3 linked regions of the Neurospora crassa OR74A genome follow. The protein of the gene in region 2 purifies or fractionates together with the protein of the main gene of each other region. This does not show direct contact. Links are inferred from orthologs where the notes say so. Each region holds a gene or a part of one and is shown on either strand. Other genes may lie near its edges.

Evidence for each region. Proteins that work in one complex are often made in the same cells at the same time.
Region 1: the proteins of NCU02162 (region 2) and NCU16016 purify together in Saccharomyces cerevisiae (affinity purification with mass spectrometry; 3 studies listed by BioGRID, with this or other methods). This does not show direct contact. The link is inferred for Neurospora crassa OR74A from reciprocal best matches to the Saccharomyces cerevisiae genes SHY1 and COX1.
Region 3: the proteins of NCU02162 (region 2) and NCU04817 purify together in Saccharomyces cerevisiae (affinity purification with western blotting; 3 studies listed by BioGRID, with this or other methods). This does not show direct contact. The link is inferred for Neurospora crassa OR74A from reciprocal best matches to the Saccharomyces cerevisiae genes SHY1 and COX15.

The regions. Positions count from the first base shown.
Region 1 is NC_026614.1:38,127-41,441, forward strand, and holds NCU16016 (cytochrome c oxidase subunit 1), read left to right. Parts: upstream 1-1,141; coding exon 1,142-2,815; downstream 2,816-3,315. Other genes in the region: NCU16017 (hypothetical protein), read left to right, coding at 2,778-3,315. UniProt on the Saccharomyces cerevisiae protein: Component of the cytochrome c oxidase, the last enzyme in the mitochondrial electron transport chain which drives oxidative phosphorylation.
Region 2 is NC_026501.1:1,040,088-1,045,612, forward strand, and holds the start of NCU02162 (SURF-family protein), read left to right. Parts: upstream 1-2,159; 5' UTR 2,160-2,588; coding exon 2,589-2,886; intron 2,887-2,991; coding exon 2,992-3,510; exon of another isoform or gene 3,511-3,627; coding exon 3,628-3,733; exon of another isoform or gene 3,734-3,822; coding exon 3,823-3,922; 3' UTR 3,923-3,986; coding exon of another isoform or gene 3,987-4,158; 3' UTR 4,159-4,283; coding exon of another isoform or gene 4,284-5,525. Other genes in the region: NCU02164 (hypothetical protein), read left to right, coding at 1-96, 161-419; NCU02163 (hypothetical protein), read right to left, coding at 1,030-1,560; CEN-T, read right to left, coding at 3,987-4,158, 4,284-5,525. UniProt on the Saccharomyces cerevisiae protein: Required for efficient assembly of cytochrome c oxidase in the mitochondrial inner membrane. Involved in a step that couples MSS51-COX14-dependent regulation of COX1 translation to early steps of cytochrome c oxidase assembly.
Region 3 is NC_026506.1:927,826-931,812, reverse strand, and holds NCU04817 (electron transfer protein 1), read left to right. Parts: upstream 1-1,375; 5' UTR 1,376-1,483; coding exon 1,484-1,866; intron 1,867-1,937; coding exon 1,938-3,033; 3' UTR 3,034-3,333; intron 3,334-3,387; 3' UTR 3,388-3,487; downstream 3,488-3,987. Other genes in the region: NCU04818 (cation diffusion facilitator 1), read left to right, coding at 1-84, 137-456, 513-809. UniProt on the Saccharomyces cerevisiae protein: Catalyzes the second reaction in the biosynthesis of heme A, a prosthetic group of mitochondrial cytochrome c oxidase (CcO).

The DNA.
Region 1 (3,315 bases), on a different chromosome or scaffold from region 2:
GGGGAGTAATTATCTGTATTTAGGGCTTAAATAATATGGGGGTAGTACATAATAATAATATTTAAGCACTAAAACATATATTTGTTTTTGTTTTTAAAAATATATGATAAAAAGACGCCTCGCGGCTCGATTTATTATTTGTATGTAAAATAAATTTAGGTTTAGTTTAGTTTGGAGGCGAGCTTCGCTAGCCCCTAAAATATACAAACTAAATCTTCTCTTGTAGGCTACAAAGGAATATAAGATACTAAGTAGTATCTTAACTGATGTTGTAGAAAAGGCGGAGTGATTCTGAGGCAAGCTTCGCCCGCCTTAACAAAATATGTATTATGAAGAAATAAACCGGTAAAGAAATATTTCTTTTTTTTTTTATATACACTACCTACATATTTTGGAGGCGAGCTTCGCTTAATTTTTTTAGCCGTCCCCCCGCCCTGCAGTACTGCAGGGGGGGAAGCTAAAAAATAATTGCCTCCCAAAATATTTTTAATATTTTGGTTAAATAATAAGATAAGTCTTCATTTTCTCGCGTAGCGGAGGCTCTCCTAACAAACCCCCCGCAAGCTTGCGGGGGTTTAGAAGTGGGAGCAAAATGAATTATAATAATAACTTGTGCGCTCCTCCAAAGGCGCTCATCCACTCTTCACAATCCCCCTTCCCCCCCCTGCAGTACTGCAGGGCGGGGGGACGGGGGGATATGTGGATAAGGGTAGCGAGAAAAGTTAATTTACTACATGAGGCTAATGGAATATTGGATAGCTGACTTAATATAGCAAGGCACTTCGTTGGTTCTAATACTGATTTAGCCGTGATTCCGCCTTTTTTTTTTTTTTTTTTTTTTTTAAAAAAAAAAAAAAAAAGAAAGTCCACAAAACATTGAAAGGCTAGTGTGTTTTTTAGTAAGTCAGTCAATCACCTACGTAGGTGATCCAGAATTACGTTACCGGGGATATTCTGTTGGTCGGTTTACAGAATATCCTGGTTAGCATTGATTGTATAATCAATAAGATGTTGTAATCTTATTTTATTTTTATTTATAAGATACGTAACCATTATAATAAAAACCATTATATTATTTAATCAATTAAATAGTGAGGAGTTTGGGCTCTCTTTAAATTCAAGTAAAAGAAGTGTCGGGTTAATGTCGTCAATTTCGATTTGAACTGAAAGATGATTTTTATCAACGAATGCTAAAGATATAGGAGTTCTTTATCTAATCTTTGCGCTATTTTCTGGGTTACTTGGAACAGCATTTTCTGTTTTAATAAGAATGGAGTTAAGCGGACCTGGGGTGCAGTACATTGCAGATAATCAATTATACAATGCTATAATAACTGCACATGCGATCTTAATGATTTTCTTTATGGTTATGCCAGCATTAATAGGTGGATTTGGTAATTTCTTGTTACCATTATTAGTAGGGGGTCCTGACATGGCATTCCCAAGACTTAATAATATTAGTTTCTGACTGTTACCACCAAGTTTACTATTATTAGTATTCTCTGCATGTATAGAAGGTGGAGCAGGTACAGGATGAACAATTTATCCTCCTTTATCAGGTGTACAAAGTCATAGTGGACCTAGTGTAGATTTGGCTATCTTTGCCCTACATTTATCAGGAGTTAGTTCCTTATTAGGGTCTATTAATTTCATAACTACAATAGTAAATATGAGAACACCAGGAATTAGATTGCACAAATTAGCTTTATTTGGATGAGCTGTAGTTATTACAGCTGTATTATTATTACTATCTCTCCCCGTGTTGGCCGGTGCAATTACTATGCTATTAACAGATAGAAATTTTAATACATCATTCTTTGAAACAGCTGGTGGTGGTGATCCTATTTTATTCCAACATCTTTTCTGATTCTTCGGGCATCCTGAGGTTTACATTTTAATTATACCTGGTTTTGGTATAATAAGTACAACAATATCAGCTTATTCTAATAAATCAGTATTCGGTTATATTGGTATGGTCTACGCCATGATGTCTATTGGAATATTAGGATTTATTGTTTGAAGTCATCATATGTATACAGTTGGTTTAGACGTGGATACAAGAGCGTATTTCACAGCAGCTACATTAATTATTGCAGTTCCTACAGGAATTAAAATATTCTCATGATTAGCTACATGTTATGGAGGTTCTATTAGATTAACTCCTTCTATGTTATTTGCTTTAGGTTTTGTATTTATGTTCACAATTGGGGGATTAAGTGGAGTTGTTTTAGCGAATGCATCTTTAGATATAGCATTCCACGATACTTATTACGTAGTTGCTCATTTTCACTATGTATTAAGTATGGGTGCTGTATTTGCAATGTTTAGCGGATGATATCACTGAGTACCTAAAATATTAGGTTTAAATTATAATATGGTGTTATCTAAAGCTCAATTCTGACTTTTATTCATAGGGGTTAATTTAACATTCTTCCCTCAACATTTCTTAGGTTTACAAGGTATGCCAAGAAGAATAAGTGATTACCCTGACGCATTTTCAGGTTGAAATTTAATAAGTAGTTTTGGGTCAATCGTAAGTGTAGTAGCTTCTTGATTATTCTTATATATTGTGTATATACAACTAGTTCAAGGAGAATACGCAGGTAGATATCCATGATCAATCCCACAATTCTATACTGATAGTTTACGTGCTCTTTTAAATAGAAGTTATCCTAGTTTAGAATGATCTATAAGTAGCCCACCTAAACCTCATTCATTCGTGAGTCTTCCATTACAATCTTCATCATTTTTTTTATCATTTTTTAGATTATCATCATATGGGGAACAAAAAGAAATCAGTGGGAGGCAAAATTAATTTTCTTGAACTTTTAACTTTCATCCAATTTTTAACTCATAAACTAACTTTAACACCACCAAAACCTCACCTTTTTGTGACCTCAAATTTACAAGCATCTATTTGGAACTGACCTTCTAAATCTCGTATTACTGAAATATCTAAAGCCATCTGAATGAATATGATTAAGAAGTTTAAAATATTTATTTTTTTTGCTCTACCTACTATGTTAATAGTTAAAGGTATATATATTTGTTATGATCAGGAGATATGAACTCTGGTATTTTTTACTCAAAATTTGGTAAAAAATTTCCCTTTTTTTGGCTTAAGATTATTTAATATGATTTGAGTAGAGTCCAATTTAGGAGTAGAAGCGTCCAATTTAGGAGTAGAAGCTCCTAAAGCTTCTTCAATATTTTTAGATCTTCATCTTTGAACCTTGATGTACCTATTTGGTAGTTTAGCTAGAATTTTTGGAGAACTATATTATAGTGATTTTGAATTACCTGCGGGTGTAGGTG
Region 2 (5,525 bases):
CTATGAGCACAGCTGGGGCCAGTTGCTCAAGAGCATCACTACCCATGTTCTGTTGCCGGTGCTGGTTGGTATTGTTGCTGGTGTGTCTGTTAGCTTGTACGTTTTCATTTCCGCTTTCCCCCCTTTCCCTGTTCGAACGATCGCTAACATCATGAAACAGCATCGGCATGGCCGTCGGAACCCTCATCGTCGCTCTCTACCGCTTTTTCTACCGTCGTGGTGGCTGCAACGGTCAAAAGTGCCGTCGCCGCGGTGGTGCTGGTTGCAAGCGTGCCCAGCGCCACGGCAAAGACGAAGCTGAGGCCCCTGTTGAAGAGAAGGCTGGTTTGTTGAATGCGCAGGAGCCCGAGGCTGAGGTTGAGGCGCCCCCGGCTTATGAGGATGCCAAGGTTGCTGAGGAGGGGGAGGTCAAGAAGTGAAGATTGACTCGACTCGAGTGTTCGGCATGCCGTTCCGAAACAACAGGATGAGAGGAAGTCAGGAAGGAAATCAGGAAGGAAGTCAGGAAGGGAGAAAGGATGATACCATACGTGAGATACCATACGATTTGTGGCAGCGGAAGGCTGAGATGGATGGTCAAGCTACACCAGATTGTCACGCACATTAAGCAAATAACTGACTAGGTACGCTCCTTGGGCAAATACCATTTCAACTTGTTTTACACAGAAACTGTTAGCAGACATATATGTCTGACCACTGCTAGCTCGCTTGGGTTGATGGGTGATACTATTGTCATGATGTTATTGTGCTGCTAGTAAGGTAAGATCATCATCTTTCGCTGAGCCTGTCTCTCTACCCTTGCCAGGGCGGCGGAAAAAAACAACAACAAAAAGTGCTAATGCGGTTGCCCGTAATCCAATTCTCTGCCTTGTCCACTCCTCGTTCTTCCCAATGATGAAACTGAAACCCCATATTCTGTTCGTCGCGCAATGCCAAATCCGTTGGTCTGTTGGTTAAGTAGTTACCTAATTACACGCCAACTTCTTCTCCAGTCGACGAAGCCATGCGAGTTTCTGTCTGTCCCCTTCCTTACACCATCCCCTGCCCCCTCTCAGTTCTAGCCCTTCTCCACCTTCTCGCCCACGCCGCAAGACCCTGGAGGGGAACTTTGATCATGACTTCGTATGCATCCTTCCAACCAAGTTCTTCTGGCTCTTCTTCCTCTTCTGGCTGTTTGTCGGTAGAGGTGGTGGTTATGAACTGTTGCTTTTGGCAGAGGTAGTTGAGCCTGTCGATGTCGAGCCCGGTTTCGAGCTCGGGGAGAAGGTTGAAGTTGATTGTGGCTGTGCGTGTTGGATTGAGGAGGTTGGGGGTGTTGTTGTTGTTGTTGTTGTTGTTGTTGATATTGTTGGAGGGGGTTGAGGAGTTGTTGGTGAGGAAGTTGGTTGCGTTGGCAGTAGATGATGGAGACACTGGCGGCAGTGTAGTAGTAGTTCTGGCTGTGGTAGGTTGAGCCGTAGCGGGAAGTGGAAGGCCGATGGCGTGTTGCCCTTGATGATCGGGTGCGGAGGAGGCGTAGCTCGACAGGGTGCTGAGGCTGCCAGCCCCTGGAGAAGACATCTTGGGCGTTTCTTGAGTCGAGCAGCTCTGTACTTATGGATGTGGTATATAGTACCGAGTATTTGATAGTGTTGTTGATGTCAAGTAAAACGAAGGAGGGCAGGCTACTAGAGGTTGGGCGGATCGATGTTGGGTTAGGTTTGTGATTACCTAGGTAGCGAGCGGGAAGCAGAAGATGGAAAGTGCACTTTCTTTCGAGCCTGAAGTGGTTTCCTTAGTTTTCAAGTGGTTTGAGAAAGCAGTAAGAAGTCTTGCTTTGATACACACGAGCGGGTTACCTCTTAGGTATGAAGCCCCAAAACGGGGCCTGCTCTATGCCCGTGAAGAAGCACCTGGAAGTATTTATTATTATTTCTTTTTTTTTTTATCTTCCGGACCTGGCCTGCCTTACCTTGTTTTGAAGCTGCATTCAGGTGCTTCACTGCGAAATCAGGAGGGGTGGCTAATCATCAGCACAGCCCCAGAAGCAAGGCTTCCACTTTACATTCAAATCAGCAAACGAATCTGAAGACTAGAGTTGTACACCACCGACAGTCCCAAGTAACACACAGCCTGGTGAATCTCACATCTATGGACCATCAAGGTGTTTGTCGTCCGTCTTCAAAATGACCCCCACGGTCCCTTAGCAACCATCCATCACTTACACGACCCCTGGTGCCAAGCATTGGTGGGGCGGCGCTCAGGAACTGCACCCAGCGGCCCCGGCCATTCGGATGGAAACGCCCCACACCCACACCCACCACCACCAGCGGCAGCGGGGCATCGCCCAGAATTGGACTTTGATCGGAGCAAAACAGCAGCTCCACCGAGAACTTTCCTGTGTCCGGCAAATGACGAAGTTTGTCCGCATCTTTCCCCAGCTCCATTTTCGTCACATGCCGCTGTTTATGGTTGCTCGTTGTTGTTGTTGTCGTTGTTAGCAGCAGCCTCCGATTCGTTCTCTCAGTCACCACCACATAACTACCTACAGTACCTATCTACCTCTTCGGCCGATCGATCAACCGACCGACGAAACGAACGAACGGACAATGGCGGCCAGCGGGAGCATATTCCAGTGCCTCCTGCGCACGTCGCAACAGAGCTTGGGAAAGAGGATAATCCTCCAAAGACAAACAGCAGCAGCCCACGCAGCAGCTGCGACGCGATTCACGACAGCTAGACTCGGCAGAAACCCTGCCTCTAGTCCCCGCCGCCAATTCACCACCTCGTCCACACGCCGACAGACTCAACAACCCGGCGATGATCCCAACTTTACTTCCATCCTCGATAACCCTCCCGAGCTTGTGCGGACCGGCAGGAGACATGGCAAGGGGTTGATTATCCTGGGTATGTCCTGATTGAGTCCCAACCATCTACAATCTCAGCATGCGCTATGCAGCCGTAACACTGACTAACGCATTTACCTCCTCCTCCTCCTCCTCCTCCCCACAGCCATCATCCCCATCACTGCCCTCTTTCTCGGAACCTGGCAAGTCTACCGACTAAAATGGAAGACGGACCTGATCGCCAAATGCGAGGACCGCATCATCCGGGACCCTCTCCCCCTTCCCCCCCGCGTGGACCCGGCCGCCATCGCCGACTTCGACTACCGCCGCGTCTACGCCGAGGGCGTCTACCGACACGACCAAGAGATGCTGATCGGCCCGCGCATGCGCGACGGCGAACAAGGGTACATGGTTGTTACGCCCCTGGAGAGGGGAGATGATCCGAGCTCCAAGGTGTTGGTCAACAGAGGGTGGGTGAGTAAGAAGTTTGCGGACCAGAGGAGCAGGCCGGATTCCGTCAAGCAGGGCGAAAAGGTCCGTGTGGAGGGCATGCTGAGAGAGCCGTGGAAGAAGAATATGTTCACGCCGGACAACAGGCCGGATATTGGCGAGTTTTATTTCCCGGATGTGAAGCAGATGGCCGAGTTGACGGGCAGTCAGCCGGTGTGGATTGAGCAGACTATTGGTGGGTATCTCTGTTTTCTTCTCTGCCAGTTTTGGACGTGGCTGGCCTGGCCTGCGTCCTATAATGGTATGATGGCTATTCTAGCTAGGTATGGTACTAACGTATGTTTGTGCGCAGTTCCCGATATTATCACCGTCTATGACTACGAGGCGCGTGGTATCCCTATCGGTAGAGTCGCCGAGGTCAACCTTCGCAACAACCATGCGCAGTACATCTTTACTTGGTATGTTCTTAAGCGATGCTTCACCTCCTTCCAATTCTTGACGTACCCCTGCGGTATCGCATATCAGTGCCCGACTAACTGGTACTTAGGTACGGTCTCGCTGCTGCCACCTCCATCATGTTCTGGCTCGTGGTCAAGAAGCCTGCGAACCAGATTACCAAGCGCGTTCGCATGAACAAGAGCTGGTAAACATGAGTTTGTGAGTGGGCAGTGATAGCTTTGCTTTGTCACACATCAATGGTAACAAACACTCTCACGTCACCTCTTCGTCTTCGCCGCCAACCCCAGCACGGCTAGAAGAGGCAGCCTTTCGGCGCTTCTTGACCGGAACAGGCGGCGTCATCCTCAGTTCCTGGAGGAGCTCTCTGGGAAGGTATCGTTGCGCCAAGGCAAACGGCGTGGTTTGTGCGTTGGTTTGACGTTGTCTATGGAAACAAAAATGTAAGTCAGTCCGTCGTGTACAATAGCTCGAAAAAAGTGTACAAAGAACACTACACAGGATATAAACAATCGGATACCCAGGGATCAAAGCAAAAGCGCCAAAACATACCTCTTCATCAATGTAAGCATATCACTCATATCGATAGTTTTGCGATGGGCGTGCTTTGCGTACGCCGACAAGTCATCTCCCAACTGCTCAAAGAACCAGTCCGAAGCCTGCATGATTGCCTTGAGCGCCTCAGGCGAGATGTTTCCCTTCGCGCCGCTCGTCTTGGCGAATGTTTGCGCCAGCCGCTTGATCATGGCCGGAGGTAATGATGTGTACTCGATGCCGTGTTTGGAGATCTTTTTGGTGGCTTTGATCTTGGAGAAGCCCCCTCGTTCACCACCCTCTTCCCGAAACAATCCGAGTTTCTCCCGCGCCGCCGAAGCTGAAAGTGATACCCTCGCCGCCGTTGGTGTGTAGCCTGATAATCTCGTCATCTCCTCATCCGAGCCTGCCTGGCCCTGGTCGTCTTGGTTGTTATCCAGATCCATGGCCATACCGTCGTCGTTATCATAATCGTCGTATGCTGGTCCAACATCATTTCCGTCATCGTCATTGTTGTCGTAACTGTCGCTCCTCTGGTCCATCAACTCCGCGAAACCTCCACCTTGGCCGCTTGTTGCCGCCGCTTCAGCAGCTTGACCCATCTCAAACTGCCTCGTAGGCGAAGCAATCATAAACGTGCTCTCGTCCATCCCCACCGGCACCTCAATGTGGAAATCACTATCCCTCCCTCCAGCTCCCAGCAGCAGCCCCATCCCTCCTTCCCCACCTATCGTCTCCCGTCTCCTCGTCTCGTCCGAGTCCAGCCTGCTAAACTCATCCGGTATCCTATCCTCGGCATTTCCAAAGTCGTCCTCATCAATTGCAGCAGGCGGAAAGAACCCCGAATCGATCCCATCACTCTGTTGTTGTTGTTGCTGTAGCTGCGGGAAATCACTCAACCGCCCCATCGAATCCCTCATCCTTTGTTGATCCTTCTCCGGATCCACCCGTCTCGGCAACTCGATACTCTGCACCGTAAAGTTCTCCGTCAGATCTTCGAGTCCTGCACTCCGATGTGGTTGCGGCAGTTCATCATCATCTTCCCAATCATCGCCCTCCCCATCCCCCACCCCTAAGCCCAAGCTGAGTCTCGGCCTCTTAGGCAACTCCTCCTCCTCGTCGTCCTCATCTCCATACCTACTCCGCGTGGATATGTCAAAGGTCAACTCCTCCGACGTGTCCCCCTCCTCTTGCTCTTGTCTTCCCCCAGCAGCAGCAGCAGCAGCAGATCCAGAAAGCGCCGAAGCAGGACTCGAACTA
Region 3 (3,987 bases), on a different chromosome or scaffold from region 2:
AATCTGCGCGTAACTTGGGTTCGGGAGGAGAACACGAGGCTGAGGGTCTCCATATCATTCCGCTCACCTTTGTTGGTGTTGCCAGTTAGTACCACTCATTCAAAACGATGGGGACGGGACCCTAACATGATGTCAGTTTTTGCCAAGGGCAGCTTGATGATCTACTGCCTCTTCTACCGGAGGTTCCCAACAGTGCACGTCTTCTTTGTTGACCATCGAAACGACATTGTGGTGAACATCTTTGGGTTGGTGATGGCGATCGTAGGTGACAAGTTTGTGTGGTACCTTGATCCAATTGGCGCCATCCTGATAGCCCTTTTGATTCTCTTCTCGTGGGCTTCAAATGCCTTTGAGCAAGTCTGGCTTCTGGTTGGCAAGTCAGCGCCCAAGGAGTTTATTGCGAAGCTCATCTATATGACCATGACACATGACGACAGGATTGTCAAGGTCGACACGGTGAGTCGATCCCGAGTGCTTCCCGGTAACGGCGTTCGAGGCTAAAAGTTGGTCAGTGTCGGGCATACCATGCTGGTCAGCATTATTATGTTGAGCTGGACATTGTGATGGACGAAAACACACCCCTGAGAATCTCTCATGATGTCGGTCAGACGCTCCAACGAAAGCTTGAAGGGTTAGCGCTGGTTGAGCGAGCATTTGTACATGTCGACTATGAGCACGCGCACAACGTCCACGAGGAGCACAAGCCATTATATGAGAAGCCGACACCCAAGAGGAGTCTCAAGGACATGCTCTTGTTCAGGAAGCCCGCCATGACACAAGGTGAGGCGAATGCGTCAATCGGGCAGTGACACTGAGGGACAACAAGGTTGAGAATAGGGTACGGTGAATGATAATAGATTTCAAAGTTTTGGATACTCGTGTATGGCTTCCAGTTGTAGCGTGGTTTTCTGATTGAGGTGATGAGAAAACAGGGAAAAGCCGATGCTGCCAGTCGCGGTCGCACAAGATGGAGTTGGTAATGCCCTGTTGAGGAAGAAAACTACTCATATCGATGTGGATGGGCGTAGTGATACCTCTATACCCAACCACTTGACACTTGAAAATGTAAACTCAACTAGGAAGTCGGCAAGTGCAGAGATTTCGTGCCAGTGAGATGTTGAAGTTGAAGGAGGAAAGTGCGAGTTGTCGTTGCACACTGCAGTTGAATGCTGCCCATTGCTGCCGCCAAGGTTACGCGATAATTACCTTTCACGGTAAGCTACCATGTAAATACGTGAAAAGGAAGCCTGGGCCAAGTGGTGCAATCCAATCGCAAACGTGGGCTGATTTTTGCTTCGTGATCGATTGGCCCGCGCATCCGGCAGGCAGCGCAGTGGAGTCTGTTCATCCCGTCCACCAGCCGCGGTACCTGATTACAAAGTTCACTCCACCGGGACTTCGGGAGATCGACTTTGACTTTTGACGACGACGACCTCATTTTTTTTTTTGGGTGGTTTGCCATTGTCGGCTCAACTTGGTCGTCATGGCCTTCTTTCAGCTTGGGTTACGCCGGGCAGCTGTCCAGCTGTCCAGGCCATCCGTCTTTTGCGCCAGAGCTGCTTTCAATGCCTCTCAGCAACAAAAGCTTGTCCAGCTTGCGACTCCTGCTTCCACCATCTTGAAGTTGGTGAGCCAGGCTCGTCACACCCAGTCCCGCAACTATGCTACCCAGAAAGTCCAAGAATCCCCTCTCAGCAAGCTCGCTACCGATATTGCTAAGCCCGCTCCGTCCTCTGATAAGTCCGAGAAGAAGTCCAGCTTCCCGGAAACCAGCTCGAAATCTGTCGCCTACTGGCTCCTTGCCAGCGCTGCTTCTGTCTTTGGTATCGTCATCTTTGGTGGTCTGACCCGCTTGACCGAGTCTGGGTACGTGGCCCGAGTACTTGATATGCCTCGATGTCTCTTTCAGCCTGTCACAAATTACTAACGTTCCACAGCCTGAGTATCACGGAATGGAGACCCGTCACGGGTTCCCTCTGGCCTGGCTCCCAGGAGGAGTGGGAGTCCGAGTTTGAAAAGTACCGCGCCTCCCCCGAGTTCAAGATGCTCAACTCGACCATGAACCTCCAAGAGTTCAAGCAGATCTACTTCATGGAGTGGACCCATCGTCTCTGGGGCCGCTTCATCGGCATGTCCTTCGTCCTCCCCACCATCTACTTCATTGCTCGCCGCCGCGTCACCCCTCGCATGGCTTGCACTCTTGTTGGCATCTCGGCTCTCATCGGCTTCCAGGGCTTCATTGGTTGGTGGATGGTCAAGTCCGGTCTCAAGGATGACCTCTTTGCTCCCGGCTCCCACCCCCGTGTCAGCCAGTACCGTCTCGCCGCCCATCTTGCTACCGCCTTCGTCTGCTACTCCTGGATGCTCCTTGCCGGTCTCAGCATTCTCCGCACTCACAAGGCCATCAACTTCCCCGAGCAGGCTGTCAAGAACTTTACTGCTCTCCAGTCGCCTGCCCTTAGGGTCCTTCGCGGTTCCGTCGCTGCCCTCACTGTTCTGATCTTCACTACTGTTCTTTCCGGCGCTCTCGTTGCTGGCCTCGACGCTGGTCTCATTTACAATGAGTTCCCGATGATGGGCAACGGCCTCGCTCCCCCCAAGTCCGAGCTTCTGGACAAGTTCTACTCTCGCCACGAGGATGGCTCTGACTTGGTCTGGCGCAACATGCTCGAGAACCCCTCGCTCGTCCAGCTTGACCACCGTATCCTGGCCATGACCACCTTCACTGCTGTCTGCGCCCTGGTTGCCTACAGTCGCTCTGGCAGGGTCAAGGCCGCCCTCCCCCCCGCTGCTCGCAAGGGAATCACCGGTCTTCTCCACCTTGTCTCTTTGCAGGTTGCTCTCGGTATCAGCACCCTCATCTACATGGTTCCCATTCCCCTGGCTGCTGCCCACCAGGCCGGCGCTCTTGCCTTGTTGACCGGAGTTCTCGTTGCTGGCCAGCGCCTTCGCATCCCCAAGGCCACCTTAGCTATGGCCCAAAGACGACTGGCCCAGTTGGCGCAGCAGGCCAAGACTCAAGGTCCCAAATAGTCAGCACAAGCACAAATGCTATATCGTGTAACATATCTGTAACATTATCTCAAATTTTTGGCGGTTAGATATACCCGAGGAGTTTAGGATACACGTGCACCTCCTCACACAATGGCTGAAGTGGCCACTCTTATGCCACTCTTCTCCTGGCGACAATTCCTTCATGTGAAACAGGCTCTCATCAGACATGGCGTTGCACAACCTGAACCAGCATCTACCAGCTTCGGATCCCGGCAGTCGATAATCTTTGTGTGTACCACGTTCAATTCCCGAACCTTGAAAGGCCCTATCACTACTGTCGTATGTCACTTTAGGACAGGGGTGTCTCGAATCTTTGACTTACGTTGGGAGCAGGATACCAATCCGATGCAGTGGCACCAGCTACCAAGTGGTGGGCAGAACCCTGCAGAATGCCCCAATGGTAAGACAACGGAGGTCTCGCCGGTTCGACTCAGTGAGTCCTTAGAGGCGAGCTTACACAAATGCCCGGCATTCGTCCTCAGATGATGAAAACAAAGATTGAGTGTTGTATTGTGTTGTTACCCCTGAACGTGGGAGAGAGGGGGACGAACCAACCGTCCACACGATCCAACGTTCTCTTCACAGTGCCAGTGCGACAAGACCGACATGTCGTCACATTATACTGTGCATATCGATAAGAAAACCCAAACTAGAGAGAAGTCCGAAAGTCCTGGACTCCTGGCGCCAATGACAATGGCATTCAATGTCCCAACTTCCACAAACACACCAGGATTATACCAAGTTTCGGTGATGTGCCGCAACGGAAACTCCCGAATGAACCTTGATTTCGCCATCGGATTTCCCCTTCGGGCCACTTACAGCTCGAGTCCAGATATAACTGACGATAATCATCGCACAATTCGAATGCCCGACGCCCAAACACACAGCCATGCACGATATCACATTGTCAAAATGTAAGCCGGGATTTGGATG